Coturnix japonica: one gene and its partners. The protein of the gene in region 4 interacts with the protein of the main gene of each other region in a biochemical or structural test. Links are inferred from orthologs where the notes say so. Each region holds a gene or a part of one and is shown on either strand. Other genes may lie near its edges. The genes, in order: PRKCZ, TLK1, CDK9 and MBP.

Region 1 (5,393 bases), on a different chromosome or scaffold from region 4:
GCCCAGAATTTGGTTGTGGAATAGCAACTTAATGCTGCAAATTAACTGAAGCATAGGACCAGATTTGTAACTTCATCCTTCGTGTTTCTTATGCTGATCGCTTTGCAGGAAAGAAATTGACCTTGACTGAGTTTGTTTCTTCTGTTCAGTTTTCTATCTCAAAAGTAGAAGTAAACTACTAAAATGTTTTAAACTGTTTTATGTATGTAGGAAGGATTGGGCCCTGGTGACACTACGAGCACTTTCTGTGGAACACCGAATTACATTGCACCAGAAATCCTAAGAGGAGAAGAATATGGTAAGCTGAGACTGAACAGATTGATGTTATAACTGAGCGCAAAACCAAGTTAGAGTTGTAGCTTTGTTCAAATACTGTTGTTACTGAATTTCTTTTTTTTCCACCTATATGTAAAACAAACCCAGCCTTTTGATTTTAGAAGTCATTCATTTTGGCTAGTTTTAAATCCTACTTTCCCTGAGCAATGCAGTGTTGCTGTATCAAAATCAAGCCCCAACCCTTGATGTACTTGACATCCCAACTGCTATTGTTCCCCAGGCAAGGTTATGGAATGCTGTGACTAAGTTCATTGTTTATGCAGAAGTCAGAACTGTAATCTTAATTAGTGTTGTGGTTATAAACTGATCTGATCAGTAGGTTGGGTTGTGTATGGGTACCTACAGAATCTGTACAGGTTTCCTATGTGGCCCAAATTCCTGTCAAGTTCTATCCAGCAATACTGATTGTGTAGGACCAGGGCATTAATCCTCACATGATGAGAACTCTGACATTTGAGGAGCAGCTGAAAATCTGCTGTGTAAATATTGACAGGGTTCAGCGTGGACTGGTGGGCTCTTGGTGTATTGATGTTTGAAATGATGGCAGGAAGGTCTCCATTTGATATCATTACTGACAATCCAGACATGAACACTGAAGATTACCTCTTCCAAGGTATTGTTTTTTTCTATGATTTCTCTTGGGGGGAGGAATGATGAAAATTAAGAATTGCAGTAGGATACTTAGAATTACCTTCTCTTTTCCTTTCCTTGTATTATCTCACAGTTGCTAGCAGGTCTATAATATATGAAGTATTTTTAAGGTTTCATCCTAGGTATTTATTTTATTGAACTGTGATGAAATAGCCTGGAATTAGGAACCTTTCTACAGATGATAAAAGCATGTCAAAAAACAGATAGAAATCTGACTATTCCCTATTTATGCTATAAATGACAGGTTCACGTAGCTAACATTTACTTCTGAAATCTTGAAGTTTTGGTGCAGTATTTGTATTACTGTAACTCCTTTTGCATTATTTTCAGAAATTACCATGTGTTCCCATTTTCCAAAGTGTAACAATGTAATGTTTGTATTAAAATAATGGTCGATGTCATAAAATAACAAAAGAAAACCAACAACAATATTACTGTTTTTAAACCTCTAACAGTTATTCTTGAGAAGCCAATCCGGATTCCAAGGTTTCTTTCTGTCAAGGCCTCCCATGTGTTAAAAGGATTTTTAAACAAGGTAAATAACATTCTCTTATTTTTAGCATCTACTATCTGGAAGTCAGGGCTTCCTGTTGAAAGGAATACAGTTAAGAAGTTAATCTGCTTACTATAAAGAAAATCTATAAAACCTTGGCATCCTGTATGATTTAAATAAAAAAAGACCAACCAAACCACCACCACACAACTTGTTGCTCTGAAGAGCTCCCGTGTTCCCACATCAGACTTGTTTCAGAAGCCTGCCTGTAGTTAGAAGTTATTATAGACACTTATAAACTCTTATCTGTAATGCTTAATGTTCATTGAAATCCATAGACTTATCATCATTCAAACGGGAGGGGGGGAGGGATGTAAAATACTTTGTTAAATAGAGCTTTTATATGAACTCCAAAAGAGAATGTAAACACTTTGGTAGCCATGGTATGAGCATCTTAACAGCAGTTGTTGTACTAGTGGAGAATGCTGGTGATATAGATGGGGTTCTGACAAAAATGGGCTGTAACTGACTCAGTGTGTAACAGAGTGTTTGTGTTTTTTGCAGGATCCCAAGGAAAGGCTTGGTTGTCAGCCACAAACGGGATTTTCTGATATCAAGTCTCACACGTTTTTCCGCAGCATAGACTGGGATCTGGTAAAAATAATTACTTCTGTTTGTGCATTTAAAAGAAACAACTTGTTAGTTTCCTGTTAATTTACCCAGCGTAGATGCATGGTGCCTGCAGTTGGACTCCTCTGGAGGTCATTTCACTGCTCTAACAGATAAGGGAAGCATATATTAGCAAGCAGTGCTTAATTTCCCTGATTAGAAACATTTCTACCTCAAAGAGAGAGAAGGCTGGTAGGTAACTGAGTGAACAAGAGCAGGTAAATTGCCATGGAACCAGTTAATCTGCAGCCATGGGAGGTGAGATGCTTCACGTGCCCAAAGCATTTCTGGTCTATTTGTACTATGTTATTTAAAGAAAAAAAATCAAATTCTGTACTTCTAAAAATCAGTGGGATTATTCAGGTAGGTAACAGTGAAATAACATTTATGGCAGAATAGGATTGCGTCTCTTTCTTGAAAAAAGTGGCTTAAGGGTTTTGTAGCTATTTGAAGTGATTCTTTGATTTCTTCTATTTTTCTCTACACTTGGTGTTATGATGGAAATGTTTGCTTAGGATGGAGAGACAACTTGCATGTCTGTAGGTCTGGATGCATAAATATTTATTACAGCTAGCCTTATAAAAGGTTCTGATACTTGGTGACTGTCTCTGCTTCACAGAAAGTCACCATAGGAACTGCATTGTTGCATTTATGGACACAGCCAAAAAGCAGTTGGGAACTCTTCCTTTCCAGCGTTACGTTTTTAATACTTCAGTTGAACCTTGAGAATATTGAGAATAAATGCGTGTGGTGTTTTCATAGTCCTGGGAGGTCTCCACAAAATATAGAAACAGGCAGTCAGCAATGTCAGTAATAATGTGAAGGAGGTTCAGAAGGAACCGTATGATGACAGTTACTCTCAGACCTGCTGTTCAGACATTCAGAGAAGACATTCAGTCCATTAGGAGCCAGTGTTTTAAAATACCTGCCGTTCACAAAGCGATTTGTACCGCAATTACAAGGACGTCTACTTCTGTCACAGACGTGACTCGTTTTCTGTTCTCCTTTTACCTACGTGCTGTGTTCCATTATGTTGGCTACCCAGTGGTAGCTATAATGCAACTTGACTGGAGTTTGTGTTAGAATATAAACATCACGCACTGCAGGGTTTCTGTTTTGCAGAGTGTTTCTGAGAGGTACACAAGGCTTCTAGATTTGTTGTCTTTATTTGTATAAATGCTTCTTAATTGGGACTGTTATTGATCATCATATATGCTGAGTTTACTTGAATTTTGATTTTCTACCTACTTCTTGGTTGAAAGCCTCGGTATTAAATATCTAATTAAAAACACTAATAAATTGGGGTGGATTTCTGTATGATTTTGCAAGATAATGAGGGCAGTGCTGCTCAGGAGGACATAAGATGTCAGGAAAAAAAGCTAAGCTGCACTTTAGTACTGGGAAATGTATTTAGGATAAAATGTAAAGCCACTGTAAGTGTTGCTTTCAGTCTTGGTTGTCTGAGTTGTGTGTGCTCTGGATGCAGGATGGTTTAATAGCATTCAGGGAAACACCGATATAACCTTTCTAATTGTTTCAGCACAAAGTACTTATTTTTACAGTATTTATCCATTACATTTGTGCTACAGAGCCATGGCTACTGCTGGCTGTGTGCAGAAGCAATAATGGTTATGTTTTGGATGGTAGTTTCAGCTCCTCATTTCTGTTGTTTTGTTAGATGATGGTGATGGCAGGTTGGCTGGCTTTGTTGTTTTGTGTACTTTATATGAATTTTAGGATGATAGTATTGGGATTGGTGCTACTGAAAAATAGAACTAATTTAGTCTCTGTTGCTGACTTGAAGGTCAAGGGCTACTTTGAGTCATTTATTCTGTTCAGGTGTTGCATTTCATCTGCTGTGTTTCCCTTCCTACTGAATACAGCCAATAGTTTTACCATCCTTGTTTGTTAATAGTTGTTAATTGTGAGTTTTACCTGTTAGCTGTAGATTTCTTGTCAAGAGTTCAGAGTCTCTAGAGATGTGAATCTGAATTGCACTTGTAGTTGAGGTAGTTTCATTTGATTGGTGTGCCAGGAGCATTACGTAGAACAGGTTAGTCTCTAATTGCACTCTAATACTGTTCCTCAGGAAGAGAAGTGAATACACTGTCCTGTCTGTTTCCTGTAATGCAGCATTCTGCATCTGTGTAGGAGTTTTTCCAGTCTTGAGTACACTGTACCAAGTTAGAACAGAAAGCTTAGATGGCTGGATTATTTTTGGATCTCTATTTTTAGATGTGGAGCATTAACTATATTGGTGTTCACTGTGTAACGTGTAATAAGTTATACTTAAGTATTTTGACATTTTTCTCAAATGGCATTTAGTATCATTGAATTTGTAGGCTGCTTATGTTAATTGTAATGGAAAAGGTTACAAAAATAGGAACATATTTCTGTTCTGGGTGTAATTCTATTCCTATCAGTGGCTTTTTGTTGTTAGTATTGCTTCAAAACATCCAAATACCTTCAATTTTTGTATCCATTTTCAATTGATAGAATCATAGAATGCTGTTTAATATTAAATACAACCACTTAAGATTGTACGAGACCTGTAAGAGAACCTGCAAGTCTTGTTGTAGGAAACAAGGATGTTTCCCTTCCCTTGGTGTGTTTCAACCATCCATCCAGATGTGTGAGGAAGCTGGAGCCAGGCAGAAAGCTGAGTGTATCAGAGTATTTTTTTGCTATGAAAACCAAGTTTAGTTGTTCAGCCTTCATGCAGAAGTATATATTAAAACCATCTTAATGCTTTGTCATTTAATGCTGTTGTCACTGAGGATGTTGCATGAAAACAAACTGTGCTTTTCGATTTTCCGTCAGTGTCGTTGGTTCTGTTCCAAGGGGAGCTTTGAATGTTGATTTTGTATCTGATATTTCTCTAGAGGAACGGTGACCTCCAGTGGCCAGCAAGGCTTAACCCAAAGTGTATGAAGTGTATGTCCCACGTAGGCCATAGCAGATCAGAATAATGATCAAGTCTGGTAGCCTGTCTCTATCAAAGCCATTACCAGAAGCTTCAGAGGAAGGTAAAATTGGTTCCAACTGCTCATAGCCTACAATGTTTCTCGTATAGATAAATCACTTCCTTCTAATTCGTATATTGGTCACTTTTATGCCCTGTAGCATGAGTAATAACGCAGAGCATGTAGATGTTTAGCTCAGTTGGTGGTTAGGAAGTTACCTGTAACATACTGCCTTTTAACCACAGTTTTTAAGCACTAACTTCTGTGGTGATAAATTCCTT
Region 2 (5,971 bases), on a different chromosome or scaffold from region 4:
CAGCAGCTACAAACATTTGCTAGGCTGGAAACTTAGGGAAGAAAAAACAATACCTTCATTCTCAGGTGGACAACTACCATCACATTTCAGGTAATGAGAACTACGAATAATAAACATTCATCAAATTAAAAAAAACAAAGTTTGCTACATTGTTCTTCAAACGGCATTAGAAACATGTCATGGATTTATTTACCACATTTTTATCACCTTTAACTTGAGATCACATTCTAGATGTGAACCTTCCCATCCCTGATTTGTTGATTCAGATTCAGTGTATTTAGCACTCTGCTTTGTACTCAGCAAAGAAAACATCAGCCTGCAAAGCACCATGCCACACTGCCAGACACTGACAACCTGACTCCAACCTCAGAGGAGGAAATATTTCAAGGTACTCGCATACGTGTCCCAAAACCTCCCTGTTCTGTCTGCGATAGCCTGGTTGTCTCCCATTTCTAAACCAGCACCCTGCAGCTGTGCAATGTGATCTCTTCAGTGCCACACATGAACAGCAAAGAAACTTCAAACACAAAGCTGCATGACTGCAGTTACATGAGCTATGGCACAAGATTCAGTAAACAGTGTTTACAGTAGCACTACTTAACAGTCTTCCTAAATTCCTCATAGCCTAAGTCGCATGGTTCTTGAATGACTGACCAAATACAGATCAGTTACTGCATAAAACAAGGGATAGAAGGAATGCTTGATACTACATGGAGTTGGAAACACCAAACAGTTCTGATACAAGAGAAGTGTACAGATACAATTTTACTTAAGTCCCTGCCAATGTTTTCACTTCAAAGCCCTAAAACACAAGTTCACATCTATTCAGCTGGGCAATGATGCCTCTGCAAGTCAAGAGGTGGGAGAAGCCAACACTCATGAGGCACTGCTACAACCCTGTAACACATTCCAAAAAAAGAAAATATTTTCTTTAACTTCACCCTGTATTTCCCAAGCAGTCCCATTTCAAGACTATTAAACCTAACATTTGAAAAGCAAAACAAAAGAACTTTTGAGTGACAACTATGTATGTCAGAGGCTGATCGGTTGTTTTTTTTAATTCACTTGACTGGTTGATTTTGGTTATTTGGTTTCTCCACATTAAGGCTTTGGAGAGCACTTTTTGGACCTGCAAAAACAGAGCACCAGGGGTTCCTGTTCCCAAAGGTGGGAATCTTCACATGGTGAGCACCTTGCAGGCAGCTGCCAGGCTGTCCCAGCAGGTTGCGGGTAAGGCTATGTGAGCTGCTGCGCTGTGAGACACCATGCAAGGCCTGCACATCTGACAGGAAAGCCAGCCTGGTGATGGCAGGAGTTGAAGAGAGGGGTCCGGCGTCTCATAATAAATGTGCCCAGGCCAAAGGTTCAGCACAAGCACAGCAGGCCCACACCTGGACACCCAGCGCTGGTGCTAGTGTACGAGTCTTGCCCAGGCCCACGCTCTCACATACTGCTGCCAGCACACAGGTGATGTCTGGCAGCACTGCCTGGGCTCACCAGTCAAGAACCAGCATGCGCACAAGCTCCTTTAAACACGTTTTGGGTTATTTTGAACTTGTTAAGTTTGATCTGACATAGTTCTTGCATATGTACAAGCCAATGCCTATGAGCACACCGGCCTATTAGTGTTTGGCGGCCTACTGCTTTCACACAAGATGCACCATTTCAAAATACACGTTTACGAAGCAAGGTGCACTGCTACCATCCTGCCAGCTTACGCCAAAAGCAGACATGGACACCACCAATAGTTCACACTGGCTCCCAGAGAGAACTGCCCGGCGAGGCCATGCAGCCATCACAACATGGGAACACTACACACACAAGGCCAATCACAGCACCACGCACAGAGCTGGGCTTTCACTGCTCTGAAACCCCTTAACTGCACAGTGCAAATTACGGCACTTAGAACAATCCAACCGCAGGAGTCGTGAGAAGGGATGTAAAAAACACCATCATCATCATTGCCGCCTTAAAAATTAACATCACAAAACTGCTTTTCCATGCCTAGATGCCAGGCTTAAACCAGTTTTCTTTAAATAACAAATAAATATATATATTTTATATATATACATGCATGTGCATATATATATATATGTGTGTGTGTGTGTGTATATATATACACACACGTTATCTGTACGTTGTGCTGCAACCATCATTTCAGGCTTGTGCACCCGGTGTCTGAAATACATCCCAAAATATCCCACGCAGGCACTCAATATGAATATTACATGCACGCATCCATAACAAGTGTTGCAACACTGCTGAAACCTACTCCTAATAAAGTTAAAATCAGCTGCACGTTCAGCTGGGGGCGGCCGTAGTGCTGCCAGTCGGCTTCCAGGAGCGCAGGAGCACAAAATGCCTGCCACTTTACTCAGCATCTTTAACATATACCGTAATCCCTCTCCAGGTATTTTCTAGAGCATTTCGTGTTAGCCTGCCTGGCGGAGCGCGTGCGGAGTGACGGGAGCGATACAAGTCTGACAACTGCTGGCACAGAAAATGGAGAAGCACCTCCTGCTTTTTGGGAGAGCGAATCCCCGGCACCGAGCCCTCAAACTGCTTATCAACAACGGCAACAACGACAAAAAAAAAAGCCACAGGAAGACTTGAAAAACAAAGACCGCTCTTCTCGCTTTAATTTCTATTTCAAGTTCTCAAGTTTCCTGCCTGGCCAGCGACATTTTGCAGAGATCGGAAGGCGAGCTACGTGGAATTGATCAAAGTGGGGCAAATGGAGCGAAATTACACAACTGTTCAGCACGCGGGTGTGCGGGCACAAAAGTTCTCCCCCGCCACAAGTAGTTCTCCCAGCAGAAAGCCGCGAGCCGCTCTCCAGCTGTAGAACTGCTACATCTTGTGGTGGTGCATCTCAATGCAAGGAGGAAAAGCAGACAATAACCCGAACGGAACAGAGAAGGGACTTGTTTGCTCATAACCTTCATACAGCTATTCCCCGCAAACACCCACAACACCCCGCTCTGCCTGTCGGTGTAACACAAGAGGGGAGGAGCAGAGGAGGGAGGAGGAAAATATTATCATCCGAGGCGTGATGGAGGAAAGCAGAAAGTTGCAGTCATAGCGCGGCGGTGGCCGTGAGGCGCCCTGTCACCGCCGCCGCGGGGCCGACCGCTCCCCGGGCGCCTTCGCGATAGGGACGAGCCCCGCGGTTCCGCTCCGTCCCCGCCCCACCTCCACGATGCCAAAAGTGCCCGACTCCTTCCATCCAGAAACAACGGCCGCGTCCTCCCGCACTCCGCGCACCGCCGTTACTCCGCCGCCGGAGGAGGGCACCGCTCCCCGGGGAGGACGCGGGCAGCGGCCCCCGCCGAGAGCAGACGCGAGCCGGAAGGACGGCCGGAGCGGAGCGCCGCGGCCCGGCGGGAGGGGGGCGCGAGGAGCGGCGGGGCCGAGCCCCTCGCCCGGCGCCGGAGGCTCCGCTGGGCTCCGCCGGGCCCGGCGCTGACCCCGAGCCGCCGCCGCCGCCGCGAGGGGCACCCGCCTGTCCGCCACCGCTCCCCGCCAGCCCGGGACCGGCCTCCGGCGGCGGCAGCCGGGCCCCTCCCCGACGGCCGGCCCCCCCCCACGAAGCCCCGCGGCGCGCCGGTTACCTTCCTTGGGCGGCTTGCCGGGCGGCGCGCCGTGCAGCTGGGAGGCCGCCGCGGAGCAGCCCTGCAGGCTCGGTGGGGACGTGGAGAGCCGGGACCAAGATGGCGGCCCCTCCAAACTTCCACTGCTACTTTGGACACTCATCAAGCTACTTTCCTGGAGCCTGGCAGCCGCCGGGGGCGGCGGGGGAGGCGGCGCGGCGGGGGGACACCCAACGCCGCGCTCATGGCCGGGGGGCCGGCCCGACACCGGCGCGGGGAGGCCGCCGGCGGGCGGAGGGCTCCGGAGGCAGGCGGGGCGCGGGAGGGACGGGGCGCGGGGCCGGCGCCACCCGCCCGCACCTCTGCACTGCGTCGCCGCGGCCGCCGCCGAGCAGCCGCCCGTGTCTGAGGCTGAGGCTGAGGCTAACCTTCCCCACCGCCGCCGCCGCCGCCGGGGAGGGGAGGGCGCAGGCGGGGAGGGGTCATGCGCAAACACGATCGCGAGCAGAGCGAGCGCCGCGCTCCGCCGGCGCCCAGCCGAGCCCAGCAGCTCCGAACCGGAGCCGCCCAGGGGCGGCGGGCGGGAGCGGCGGCCCCCGCGCACGCACCTGCCCCGGCCGGCCCCCTACCCACGCCCCGCGCCGCTCGCGGAGCCGCGGCCGAGCCCTGCGTGCAATGCGCTCGGGGGGAGCGCGCCGCGGGCCCCGGGCCGGACACGGTGCCGGGGGAGCGGCGAGCCGCGGCAGGGCCGAGCCCTGTGCCATGTGCCGGGCGCCTCCTCCGCCTGCGCGCCCTCGGGCCGGAGAGCGGCATGGCCGCGTCCAAAGCCCGGCTGCTCTTCTTTTCCCTACCGCCAGCGCGGTCTCTGCCGAGAACGGGAGAGACGGGGAAAAGTCAGGTCTGAAACAAAGCCTTCCCGGTTACGAGCGTAACTTAATGGTTTCGTTCGCTTGGAAGAGCCGTGGCTTACATGCGGGAATGAGGATCCCCACGTGCTGGGCATGGCACTCCCGTACGCAGAGAAGACCCCTGGCCCCGCGTTCACTGCCCTCCCCTCTGGCTCAGGTTGGTGGCAGACTGTTCATGAAGCAGCTTTCGCCGATTCCTCCTTTCTCTCCAAGTGACACGTCAAATTTTCTGAGATCCTCACCGCCCACAAGAATACAGCATCACTGCAAGCATCTTAGCAATAAGGCATTAACCTGAAGTAAAAAATCAGTTGGTTTACTTCCTAAGTAAATCTGGCTCAGAACTCTCCACGTGTTTGGCATGGAGAAATGTTCTCTAACCAGGACCTCCTTGCCTTTAAGGACTTATCACAGAAAAGACTATTCAGGCTTTACTAAGCAACTTAGGACAGGAGTTGAGTAGTACTTTGACATGAAGTGAGGCTGTGCAGTATTGATACTGGGGGGCTGCTACAGCTTCTTAACTTCCTGCAAGGTTAAAACCGAGCCATGCCCACAGAGCAGAACTGTACCTTGTAGCCTGAGGGACAATGGCTGGTGAACTGATGAGGGTTGGTGCCCCCCAGGGAGAAGCAGCATGTTCAGAAACTTGTTGGCCCACACGTATCCACTTCAGACAAACCAGAGCCCCGCAACCTTTAGAAAAACCTACAGAAACGCATCCTTCCTGCACTATTCACTGGAATAGTGAATGAGAAGGAAGATGCCATTCGTTACTTAGGTTTCCATCGAAAACCTTTCTTAATGTGCCAGAGCTAGTACTGACTTTAAGGCGTCCTTGTAAACCGCATTGCTTTGGTGCTACCATTTCAATCATAGAATCACAGAATGGCTTAGGTGCGTACCTTTTAGAATTATCCAGAGACATGCTAGAAGACTCATTCTGTAGCACTGTAAATGTGCACAATGCTCTTCAGTCACTGGCGATAGCTGCAATCAAACGTCACCTGGTGGGCAAATGGGTGACCCCTCATAGCAGTGAGCTCTGTGCCACGCACCCCAAATGTTAAAAATGAAATCTAGCCCAAACAGTACCAAATAATTATTACTCATTATTTTATGTTTTGTTAAAAATATTTGTATATTAGATAGTTTTCTTTGCCTTCAAGTTTTCAGGAGTGGAATAGTCTGCTCTCACTGTTTGCTGGGTACACAGCACCTATTGACATCAGATGTGACTCAAGGTGGGAGAAATGGGGAAACACCCACTCAGCGGGATTGCACTGGATAGAAACAGAGATGGTGCTGCTTATCTGCATAGAAGGGAAGGCTTGATTCCCACCTAGTCCTCAGAAAGCTCATTGGATTTCACTACATGCTAAGAAAGGACCCTGAAATTCAGATCAGAACAGAAGGGAGTGAAATGCTTATGTGCTATTTCTCCCATGAAAGTAAGTCAAATGTTAGCTAGCA
Region 3 (6,018 bases), on a different chromosome or scaffold from region 4:
AGACGATCCAGGAAGGGCCCTCTCCATGTTGAGAGCTGGGACACGCTGCATTTCCCCATGGTGTGGGGTGCTGTGGTTGTGCCTCGTGTACACGTTGTCAGGCACAGAGCAGGAACTGGCCATCAGCTGGGCCCCGTGCTGTTCGTGCAGCAGTGCTGGCTGTGGGCAGCCTCCTGCCTCCCCACTTCCTCAGCTCAGCCCCTCGCAACCTCCTTGCAGCTCCCTGTAGCCACCTGCAAGTGCTGAGCTCGAATTGTTCACTGCAGGAGTATTTATAACCCTGATGGGAAGCTCTGTGTTTCACACCTTGGCACTGTGTGCTGCCGTGGTGCTACCCCAGTGTCAGCACATGGGGCACAGCAGCACTGCTCAGCTGGAGGCCTGGTGCTCTGAGTGCCCCCGGGGTTTTGCAATGCTTACACAGCAGGGCTCTGTGCAAAGCCTCTTCCCCTCCAGATTTGCTGGGGCAGGAAGCTGAATGCTGCAGCAGTACCTTGCTAGGAGCCTGGGTGCTGAGGGCCCATGTCCTGCACAGTCTGCAGGGTGCCCCTGCTGCCAAATGGGGCTGCAGAAACCCAGAAGCACTCCTGCATAGCCAAAACCTCATGACCTGGACTCTGTTAATGACAAAACTGCTTCAGGTTAAACATCCCCTCTGCATCCGAGCATCCTCTGCATCTGAGGCTGCTGCAGGGTGGGAAAGCTGGGGGCCTTCCCCATTTCCCCCGCATTCCACCACAATGGAAAATCCCAGCTTGGCCGGGGCCGTGGGAGATGGGTTTTGCTCAGCTCCCGGGGGAGCTCAGGGGTCGGCCTCCCTCCGGCGCCGGCATCAGCATGATGGAGGCAGAGGAATGCGGGGAGCAGCAGTGAAGGCAATGTCCTGCTCAGTGCAGCGCTGGCGGCGTGCAGCCCCATGGAGCCTCCTCCGAGGGCTTTGGGGAAAACCCGAGGGCTGTGAGAAAGAGCTCAGCTCCCTCCTGGTGGGCAGCAGCACTTCCTCTGTGCTCAGCTCCCACCGCTTCGGTCCCGAGCGCGGCTCCATCAGTGCAGATTTATCCCCAGCATCCACCCCATCCCTCTGCTGCAGGAGCACACAGAGGGCTCCTGGACACCACCAGCCCCAGCCATGCAGAGGGGTAAATGCTCCCTGAAAGCTGTGATTTGGGGGATCAGAGCAATGGTTCACCCCTGTCACATGCTGGCAACCAGTGCAAGCAGACTGCTCCCAGTCCAACCCCAGCACCAGAGCCATCAGCACCAGGGTTTGCTCCAGCTGTGGGGATGGAAGCCCCCAGAGCCCCCAGTTTCCTAACAAAACTGAAGACTTCTTGCTAATGAGAGGTGACCACGCTCACACTCACACACCCCCTTCCCACCCACGCCAGCCCAGGTGAGCACCCAGCACCCACCCCCTCCATCCCGATACGACTTACTGAATTTCTTGAAGCCCCCTCGTTTCTGGCCCTCAGCCATGGCTGTGCTGGGTGGAGGCTGCAGGGACAAGTTTATAAACTTGAAGCCTGTCCCTGCCTGCTCCTCCCTTCCTGTCCCCCCTCCGCCTCTCGCTTTGCTCTCTCAATCACTCAGCGCTTCCTCCTCGCTGCTGCCATCTGCTCTTATGGCAGCTGCTGTCCCCGCTATCCCCTGCGGTCCCATCCCTTATTGTCCCTGTGCTCCCATCCCTTATTGTCCCTTCAGTCCCATCCCCTGTTGTCCCTGCACTCCCATCCCTTGTGATCCCTGCACTCCCATCCCATATTGTCCCTGCAGTCCCATCCCTTGCTGTCCCTGTGCTCCCATCCCTTGTGATCCTTGCAGTCCCATCCCTTGTTGTCCCTACAGTCCCCTCCTGGCTGCTCAGGTGCCATTAATGGGATTAATGTGCTTTAGGGCCGCCCTTGAATGGCTGGGTGCCGGCATGGGGCAGGCTGGCAGCTCCATGGCTGGAGGTCCCCATATGGGGCTCAGCTCCATGGTGGAGCCCCAAGGCCCCACTGCACCATGTGCTGGTGGAGCTGTGTTGTCTGTGGGGTCATTTCTATGGGGGATGCAGTGGCCCAGAGCTGGTGGGCAGCCCCAGGGCCTTGTCCTATGGAGTGTCCCTGTATGGCCACGGCCCTTCCTATGTGGGTGACACTGTGAGGGAGGGAACGCGGGCACACAGCTATAGACAGCCATAAAGCCGCAGGGTGATACGGGTTTATCCGGGGTGACAACATGGCGGCCTAAGGTGGACTACAAATCCCAGCAGGCAGCGCGCCGGCGCGCCGGAAATAGCGTAAGGCGAGAGGGCGGAAGTGAAGCCGTCGGCCGGCATGGCCAAGCAGTACGACATGGTGGAGTGCCCGTTCTGCGATGAGGTGTCCAAGTACGAGAAGCTCGCCAAGATCGGGCAGGGCACGTTCGGGTGAGCGCTGCGGGCCTCGGCTCTGCTCCCAGCCCGGGCATGGCTCCTATGGGGCCGATTATCTGCTGTTATTCAGCGTCATGGGGAACAGGCCGCGGCCTGACCCGGGGCCTTTGTGCTGTGGGGGCTGCGGGCCTCGGCCTCCTCCTTATGGGGCTCATGGGGCCTTGTTGTTGTTACATGGGTCTCTCCGTGTTGTTATATGGGTCCTTGTTGTTGTTACGTGGGTCCTTGTTGTTACGTGGGTCTCTCCGTGTTGTTATATGGGTCCTTGTTGTTACATGGGTCTCTTCTTGTTGTTACAGGGAGGTGTTCAAAGCCAAACACCGGCAGACGGGGAAAAAGGTGGCGCTGAAGAAGGTGCTGATGGAGAACGAGAAGGAGGGGGTAGGTGTGAGCTGTGCTGTGCTATGGAGGGGATGGGGTGGGGGGTGGGCTATGGAACATCAGTGTGTATTAACTTTAATGGTGTTTACTGCTGTAACGTGCCAGGTCTTGAGTAACAGCACACAGCACATGGGGGTGGGGTGGTTGTGCTGTGGGTCAATTGGGGCTTTGCCATGTGCTGTGCTCATAGATGGGAAAGGAGGGCAGGTGTCCATGTCACACAAACACCTCCACCTTGTGGCAGAATCCTAAGGGTGGCCAATGAGTTTTGTCGCCCCTGTAATGTTTTGTAGTTTCAATTACTCTTAAATGAGCTGTTGCAGTGCTACTCAAGCAGGTGTCCTGTGCTGCAGCAGTCCAATCTCTCCTGTTCTATAAGCAGATGTGAGCTGCACTCCTAACCTGTGTCTTCTCCTTTCCAGTTCCCCATCACAGCTCTGCGAGAGATTAAAATCCTCCAGCTGCTGAAGCATGAGAATGTGGTGAACCTCATAGAAATCTGTAGGACCAAAGGTAGCTGCCGGGGTCTCATTTGTGCTGTGCTGAGGGGGTGTCTGTTTTCAGCCTTTGTTCTTGGCTCAGCAGGCTGCTGTGTTGCACTGGGGGTGGATCCTCCAGCTGAGCATGTGTTTAATCTGGGGTGACCACACGCTCATCTGTGGAAACTCATTTTGAATGAGTGCTACTGTGCTGCAGCTTGGCTGGAAAAAGCTGTTGTCAGTGCTGCTGGCACATGCCTGTGCTGTCTCAGTGACTGCTGTCTGTGTGCTGGCTGAATGGCTTTAAATGAACCTGCAGCAGGAGAGAATGTGAAACAGAACGTTTTCTGCCTGGTGGTGGTTTTGCAGCTTTATGATGCTGATGCCATTGGGAGCAGGAGCCGTGTTTCTGCAGCTCGTGGAGCTTTGTGCTGGTGACAGCTCCAGCTGGAGACTTGCTCAGCCTCTCCTGTGCATGACAGAACCCCCCAGGCTTTGAGGGCTGGATTGGAAGTGCTGCCACTTCACAGTGAGCAATTCAGTTGCTCTGTGCTGAGCTGCTGTTCCATCTCATCGCTGCAGGCAGTCCCTGGGGGAGGCAGCACGTCTCTGCTGTGTGACTGATGTGCTTAATGCACCTGGCCAGGCTCAGTTTCCAGGGAAATCATTTTAAAGCATTTCCTCATTTTTATATATCCTTCTCTTATATGGATTTGTACTGCAAAAGAGGTTTGGAAAGCGACAGATGATATTAAAGCCTGCCATGCTGTAGTCAGTTCTTTTTGGTTAAATACAATTGATAATAGCACCTTTCTGCTGCTGTTTTTTACACTCAACTGGTAGGAATCTCAGGCCTAGGTCTGGGAACTTGGTGTTGCTCCATAGAATGTAGGTAACTGTCGGTTTTTGAACCAGTAGGTAGGAGGAAAAACACTGAGTTAATGTTTAATTCTTGGATTGATTAAACCAGCTGTGATGACTGCATGCTGCTGGCACGTCTCAGGTCAATATTTTTGTAGCTGTGTCAGATTGTTTGGGTCTTGTTTAAATTCTACTTTTCTACCTTGACCTCAGATTCAAGTGAAAAACAGAAACATTTCATTGACTGTTCTCAGACTTTAAGCTTTTCTCTTTTTATGTTGGAAGAGGGGTTGTGAGGACGGCACCACTGTCATGTGCAATCTAGAAAGCATCCTCCAGGCTGCATTTACTGTGCAGGCTGAGCTTAGCCCACATTTTCTGGTTCTTGCTGCTGATCAGCAGGTTTTGCTGTGCACAGCTGATCAAAATCAGCCTTTTGTTTTGGTGTTTTGCACGTGTGCTCTAGGAGCAAGATTGAAATTGATTGCTTCATTTGAGGTTTCCTGTCATTGACCATAAATTGCAATTGAAGTTGGGGTTTTAAATCATATTGATCTGCATCAGTCTGTTCTCATAGACACCATTTGAGGTTGCAGTAAACTTCACTTTCTGATGTTGCTTTAGAAATATTTGCTGTATTCCTGTGAGTCTGTCTTTGCCTGTTCCTCCTCTAATGCTGATGCAATGATTGTGCTCGGCTGTCAGCTGTGTGTGTGCACCCACGGGCTGCAGTTTGTAGGCACAAAACCCCACAGCTGTTAATACACGCAGCACAACACACAAATGAAGCTTTCAAAGACTTTTTTGCTCTTGCTTTGCCTTTCTCATGATGTTCACTACCACTCTGATCCTCATCCACTGTTGCTTGTTTTGCTGTTTTAATACCTCTTTTTGAAGGCTCTTGAGGCATCTGGAGTCCCTGTTTTGATGTTCCTCTGCCGTGAGGTTTCACCTAGTGAGTGAGGATGGATGGAGGTCAGGAGGAACTAAATCCCTTGCTGACTGTTCCTCTTTGCCTCTCCTGTAGCCTCTCCATACAACCGCTGCAAGGGCAGTATCTACCTGGTGTTTGACTTCTGTGAGCACGACCTGGCTGGACTTCTCAGCAACACCCACGTCAAGTTCACGCTCTCAGAGATCAAGAAAGTTATGCAGATGCTATTGAATGGACTTTATTACATCCATAGGAACAAGGTAATGGGCCAGATCTGTGCTGTGGGCTGAGGTGTCGTAGTACAGGTTGGAGGGAAGTTCTGCTTTGTCCTTCATCTCCTGAGTCTGAGCGCCCTGCTGGCACCTGGGTGCCCAAGGAGGTGATACCTCAGAGGTGTAACTTTTCAGTGTCTGTCCTCGTACAGATCTTACATCGAGACATGAAAGCTGCAAACGTTCTGATCACGCGGGATGGAGTTCTGAAGCTTGCAGACTTTGGGCTGGCTCGAGCTTTCAGCCTGGCTAAGAACAGCCAGCCGAACCGCTACACCAACCGGGTCGTGACTCTGTGGTACCGGCCTCCAGAGCTGCTGCTAGGTAGGAGGTGATGGGTGCTGCTGGCTTCTCCTCCCTTCACATCCCAGGTGACTTACAGAGCACCTCTGTTTAGGGGAGCGGGACTACGGGCCCCCCATTGACCTCTGGGGTGGAGGCTGCATCATGGCAGAGATGTGGACCCGCAGCCCCATCATGCAGGGGAACACGGAGCAGCACCAGCTCACCCTCATTAGCCAGCTCTGCGGATCCATCACACCAGAGGTGAGAGCATGGGCAGGCTGTGGGATCTGCAGCACAGCAGTGAGGGCAGGGACTGGCACAAGGCACTTCTGGTCCTCTGTCCTCTCTTACGTGTGGGTTGTGTGTTCCTAGCACTGGAGCTTGCCTGCT
Region 4 (5,160 bases):
TTGGTCAGGGATTGCCAATAGAAGTTTGTATCATCTACTGCATGCAGACCCTAATTGGCACTAAGTAATGGACTGCATCTAACTAGGTAATTCTTGCAGTTGTTATTAATTTTAAGGCAGTTAGATTATGAAGCAGAGTGCATGGTCCTTGAATGGCATCGTAGAGCTTCAGCGCCTCGCAACTGGTGAGCCAGACCGCGATCCAGGCCGGGAGCCAGAGCCACCCTGGGGAAGGAAGAATGGAGTTAATTAGCAATAAGGTACTGTGTGCATAGGGCTACATGTATCAGTCCAATACAAAACCTTAAATATCTAATGAAAATGACTCTGGTATTCATTATAATTAAGTTCTTATTTGAATTTTAACATGAACCAATTGCTTCTTATATACTTTCACATAGAATTAATTCATTCTCATTAAATTCTCATATGTAGCTAGGCATGTATTGTGTTCAGTTTTGGGCTCCTCACTACAAGAAAGACATAGAAGCCCTGGAACGTGTCCAGAGAAGGGCAACTAAACTTGTGAGGGGTCTGGAGCACAAGTCTTAAGAGGAGCAGCTGAGGGAGCTGGGATTGTTTAGCATGAAGAAGAGGAGACTCAGGGGAGACCTCATCCCTTCCTAAAGGGAGGTTGTGATGAGGAGGGACTTGGCCTCTTCTCCCAGGCAACAAACAGAACCTGAGGAAATGGTTGCAAGTTGTACCAGAGGAGGTTTAGACTAGATGTAAGGAAGAATATTTTTTCTCAGAGAGTGGTCAGGCACTGGAATGGCTGCCCAGGGAGGTGGTGCAGTCACTGTCCCTGGCAGTGTTCAAGAGGTGTCTGGATGAGGAGCTCTGAGATATGGTTTAGTGGTTTGTGGTATCAGCTGTAATGGACTAGATGATCTTGTAGGTCCTTCCCAACCTTGTCATTCTACAATTCTGTGAGTTAGTTGTACATGCTTGTTCTTTTTGAGGCCTTCCTTATACAAGTGCCATGTTTTCTTGTGCATCTAAAAAGAATGTAGCTCTCAGCCTTGATTAGAAGGTTAAAGAAGCCTGGGCTATGTTCTGCTGAAATGCTCTGGACTTGCACCAGGCAGAGACTGATACAGTGTGAAACTTTCTTTTGGAGATTTACATAGGTGAGAGCCAGGCTCAACTATTAGTTGTTTTGATTCTTAAAGCAAGCAGTGGACTGGAGCTCTTCTGAAATACTTGAATAGGGAATGATTTGTAAGCGTACGTTTCAGGATAATTGAAGTGTTTCTCTTCTATTTCTAAAGATTCCAAGCATAAAACTGAAGTATTCTGCATTTTCAGTTGCCTTGTTTTTGTTTTCTTTTTTGTCATAAGCAAACTAAAGAAACCATTTACCTGAAGCCTAACTTCTTGTCAAATGGTTTATCTATTTATCAGGTGATTTTATAAGACCAACATCTTTGAGAATGCCTACTTCCTTCCAAAGCTTTGTGGAAACGTGGTTGTTCCAAACATGGCATCTCCTAGAGAGGTTGGGCTGCACTCAGCTTTTCTCTGGGCTCAGCTGTTTGAACTTACATTAACTTGAATTGTACTTTACCAGTTTAAAGATTTTGGAAAGAGTGCCCTGGCCCTCGTGATAGGATCCCTTATGTCCCTTGTGAGCAGATTTGTGCTCATAGAATTTTCCACTTCCGTATCCCGGCTTGTGTCCTTCACCACCCTGCATAGAAAGAGTTTGGTGTACATTTCAGATCAGCATATTGACATTAATTTCATGTTCACGTGGTAATCTTTCTTTGTCATCGCTGAAACATGGAGAATCTTAGAGGAAGTTGCAATAAAATAGTCTTTTAAGTAAAAAGCCAGGGTAAAGGCAAGCATTAGGTGGTTTTCTTGGTGTGCTGGTGCCTGAGGGAAGCAATCTGTAAAAGAAGAACTAATAATCAAAAGCGGATGCTCAGAGCGTTAACCTGCATGACAAAACTTAAATAAAAAAAACAAATTCAATTTACAAGTTCTGAGGTGATTATGCATGAAGTAAATTGGTGTTCTGTTGGCAGTGAAAGAAACGTATAACAGCTTGAAGGCTGTAATATTTTTTTTTTAGCTTAACATGTATGCGTTCTTCTTGTTACAGAACCAAACCTGCGGCAGAGAAGTAGGATTTAATCAGCTGTGATAACTAAAGGAGGAACTTGCCTAACTTGGGCTGATCTCTTCACACTGGAAGAGGTGGTGAGGAAAGGTGAGACCAAATACTTGAATTAGTGGTGGTGTTAGTTCTGTAGGGCTTAATGGGGACAGATCCCTGCCTGGACACCACCTGCCCTCCCATCCTTGTCTTTCCCAGGAGAAGAAACCCGCAGCAGTGAGTCTCCCAGGACGTTTAAAGGAAGTCAGCTTTGTCATGCAGAGGATTTTGTTCCCTTCATGCTGAAGCAGAAGAAATATTTGTTGCGAGGCTGTCAGTGTGCTGGATAAGAGCGTGCGTCTCGATTACCATCTTAAAGTGCTGTGGGAGGAGGGAGGAAAGTAGAACAGGAAAAGCAAAATAGCAAAACCGAGATGAAACAAAATTATTGTGTTGCTGCAGCAGCTTGAGGCAGTGGAGCAAGGTATGCTTTGGCCTAGTAAAAAAAATGGCTGTTTCCGAAAGCACATTCATCACCTACCCAGCTAAATCTGGTGAGGGACAGTCCTCTTCCCTGCACGTGGAAGAAACAGAAACAATAACACAACGGTCACTACAGAACATTGGATCAGAAGTTGTTGAGAATGCAGTGAAAAACAACGAGAAACTGGCCAGATAATGAAGCATCAGTCATTCCATAAAATGAAAAAGGCAAAGTTCTCAGTCAGAATCACAAGAGCTTCCATCACTTGCCGTGGTTCATCAATCATGGGCTGTGGGAACCATGTCAGCTTATCAACATGAGAACAGTTCCTGGAGGTTGAGGCTTGGCTGACAGTTGTACCTATTATTAGTATAATGTATGAAACACCCACAACAAAAAAACTAATATATAAGGACCTCAACATTTGGCTTTAATCTAGGTGTCATGCAACAAATCAGGAAATGCACAAGGAGAGGAGCCATGGCTTTTTTGTCTTAATCCCTGGCTTGGGATATTCCTAAAGGCAACTCCTGATTTATATTTATCATGATTAAAGATAACAAATGGACTGGTGGTTGAAGTGGTATAAATGACCCCGAAGACCCATGGGCACTGCCTGAGCCCTGGACTGCTCTTACCTTTGCTTGCATTGGAGGAGGAGTACGGGGTGAGACCTAAAAACCAACAAAAAAAAATTATAAAGCCAAAGCAACAATAAATTGAGATAATTATCAAGTAAATTCAGGGAATCATAGAATGCTTTGAGTTGGAAGAGACCCTCTAGGGTCACTTAGTCCAACTCCCCTGCAAGAAGCAGGAATGCCTACAGCTCCAACAGCTTCTCAGAGCCCCATCCAGCCTGACCTTGAGTGTCTCCAGGAAACTCTGAATGTCTCCAGGAGTTATTAGTCCTTATGTATTAGTTGTTAATTTTGTTCTTCTCTTTGCTGTCATGTGAACATTTTTAAATCTCTTTCTAAAGAAAGACGCTGGTTGCCAAAGACAGCAGCATAAACCTTGTAAATGGTGAAGCTGCATAATTACAACAACTGCTCTTGAAACGTGACTGTGCTAATTGAGGGTTCACCCACTTGGGTGTAACATTTCGGCACTGTTCTTGTTTCCAGGTGAAATTACATTGAATTGCATGATGAGCTCAAAGGTGTAGAAGAATTCATTAGTAAAGGGTAATGACTGTGGGATATTTGATTATAGGTGGATCTGAAGGAATGATAAGAATGTGGAGAAGAATGAGAAGTGGAACTTACAATGTTCTTGAAGAAGTGGACTACAGGGTTGTCATCACCAGGCCGGCCGTGCTGAGACCTCTGGGGGATGGAGCCTACATGGCTGGCCCTGGCTGCATGTATATCCTGCAACAACAGCAGAGTCCGGTCAGCAGGGAGGAAGGAGAACAGCAGCTGTTGGGAAAGGCTCCCTTTGTGTGAGGGAAAGGAGAGGGGAGTGCCTTGGAAATCTGTGGGGAGTGAGTCTGAAAGTTATCAGTGCTGCAAAGGAACAATTTTTTATACAATGGCCAATGCGCTATTGTACCAAACGCATACATATGTTGTGCATGTGTATTTATATAATGGTGCTTGTGTTTGTAACGTTACAGCCCAGCGTGGGACTGAACCTGGGACAATTAGAATCCAGAAACTTTACAATTTTACTTCCTTCAAAGTTGGAACACAGGATGTAATTTTAGAGATAAAACCTGAGAAAACTTAAGCTGGATCATCCTCCATGGGAGAGCGGGAATGGGTTGTATCTATTTCTCAATGGATGCAGCAGGACTAAGTTTAAAAAGCTAATCGGTCCCTGTGAGTTGACCCAAATGACAAACGTCTGTCCATCATTGCCAGTGTCAAGGTATAATGCTTCACTCTCAGCACAATGGATCCCAGCTGTGCGCAACAGGGAAGGCAGGAGAGAATGAAAATAACAGTGGCATCTCTTGTAAGTGCCACGTGGGTGATACAGATCTCATTGGCCCCTAAACAGAAATAGAGATCTGTGTTGAGAGAAAATAAGCTCTTCCAAACAGAATGAATGTGTGACTCTGGAACAGTATGAGCAGTTACTTAGAATACAATTAATTTTTGTCACATAGAAGATCAGCTTGCTACAGAAGGACTTGGTCACGTTGTTGCGGTGGGACTCCTGGCTTGTGAGCAGTGTTGCAATGAGGAGTGCCAGTAAGGCATCAACGTGATCAGAACAAGTTACCACCTCCATGTTGCCTTTTAAGTCTATATCTAAAGAGAACAGATCTGTGTTTATCACAAACACCCTGATCTGTGTTATGTTACATTTCTTCAGCAGTGTTGCAGATCACAATGTCTTACCAACAGCTTGCTGTCAATCTACATGAAGCCCAACGGAATACATTGTGAGCAGATGTATTTTGCTGTTCTGCAGTGGTCGACGGGTTGCCACCAGGCACAAAAAGGTGGGAATAATTCGGTTTTATGAGTGTGGTGGAGTAGTGGAGTCTGAGTTTATTTTAGCATCCTGGTCCATTATTAGGCACTAATAATTTAGCTCATTGAAAAATGTTACCATGTAGTTGACT

What was found.
Region 1: of the proteins of MBP (region 4) and PRKCZ, one has a biochemical effect on the other in vitro, tested with the Homo sapiens proteins (2 studies listed by BioGRID). The link is inferred for Coturnix japonica from reciprocal best matches to the Homo sapiens genes MBP and PRKCZ.
Region 2: the proteins of MBP (region 4) and TLK1 form a complex in vitro, tested with the Homo sapiens proteins (2 studies listed by BioGRID, with this or other methods). The link is inferred for Coturnix japonica from reciprocal best matches to the Homo sapiens genes MBP and TLK1.
Region 3: of the proteins of MBP (region 4) and CDK9, one has a biochemical effect on the other in vitro, tested with the Homo sapiens proteins (2 studies listed by BioGRID). The link is inferred for Coturnix japonica from reciprocal best matches to the Homo sapiens genes MBP and CDK9.

What each region holds. Positions count from the first base shown.
Region 1 is NC_029536.1:1,531,392-1,536,784, reverse strand, and holds part of PRKCZ (protein kinase C zeta type), read left to right. Parts: intron 1-210; coding exon 211-298; intron 299-829; coding exon 830-949; intron 950-1,442; coding exon 1,443-1,522; intron 1,523-2,044; coding exon 2,045-2,134; intron 2,135-5,393. UniProt on the Homo sapiens protein: Calcium- and diacylglycerol-independent serine/threonine-protein kinase that functions in phosphatidylinositol 3-kinase (PI3K) pathway and mitogen-activated protein (MAP) kinase cascade, and is involved in NF-kappa-B activation, mitogenic signaling, cell proliferation, cell polarity, inflammatory response and maintenance of long-term potentiation (LTP).
Region 2 is NC_029522.1:16,161,788-16,167,758, reverse strand, and holds the start of TLK1 (serine/threonine-protein kinase tousled-like 1), read right to left. Parts: upstream 3,866-5,971; 5' UTR 3,754-3,865; coding exon 3,612-3,753; intron 3,308-3,611; exon of another isoform or gene 3,227-3,307; coding exon of another isoform or gene 3,193-3,226; intron 1-3,192. UniProt on the Homo sapiens protein: Rapidly and transiently inhibited by phosphorylation following the generation of DNA double-stranded breaks during S-phase. This is cell cycle checkpoint and ATM-pathway dependent and appears to regulate processes involved in chromatin assembly.
Region 3 is NC_029532.1:3,651,368-3,657,385, reverse strand, and holds the start of CDK9 (cyclin-dependent kinase 9), read left to right. Parts: upstream 1-2,275; 5' UTR 2,276-2,318; coding exon 2,319-2,410; intron 2,411-2,715; coding exon 2,716-2,797; intron 2,798-3,219; coding exon 3,220-3,310; intron 3,311-5,164; coding exon 5,165-5,331; intron 5,332-5,495; coding exon 5,496-5,667; intron 5,668-5,740; coding exon 5,741-5,889; intron 5,890-6,018. Other genes in the region: SH2D3C (SH2 domain-containing protein 3C), read right to left, coding at 1,437-1,476. UniProt on the Homo sapiens protein: Protein kinase involved in the regulation of transcription.
Region 4 is NC_029517.1:81,546,596-81,551,755, reverse strand, and holds part of MBP (myelin basic protein), read right to left. Parts: intron 3,959-5,160; coding exon 3,854-3,958; intron 3,260-3,853; coding exon 3,224-3,259; intron 2,676-3,223; coding exon 2,643-2,675; intron 1,691-2,642; coding exon 1,568-1,690; intron 226-1,567; coding exon 169-225; 3' UTR 1-168. UniProt on the Homo sapiens protein: The classic group of MBP isoforms (isoform 4-isoform 14) are with PLP the most abundant protein components of the myelin membrane in the CNS. They have a role in both its formation and stabilization.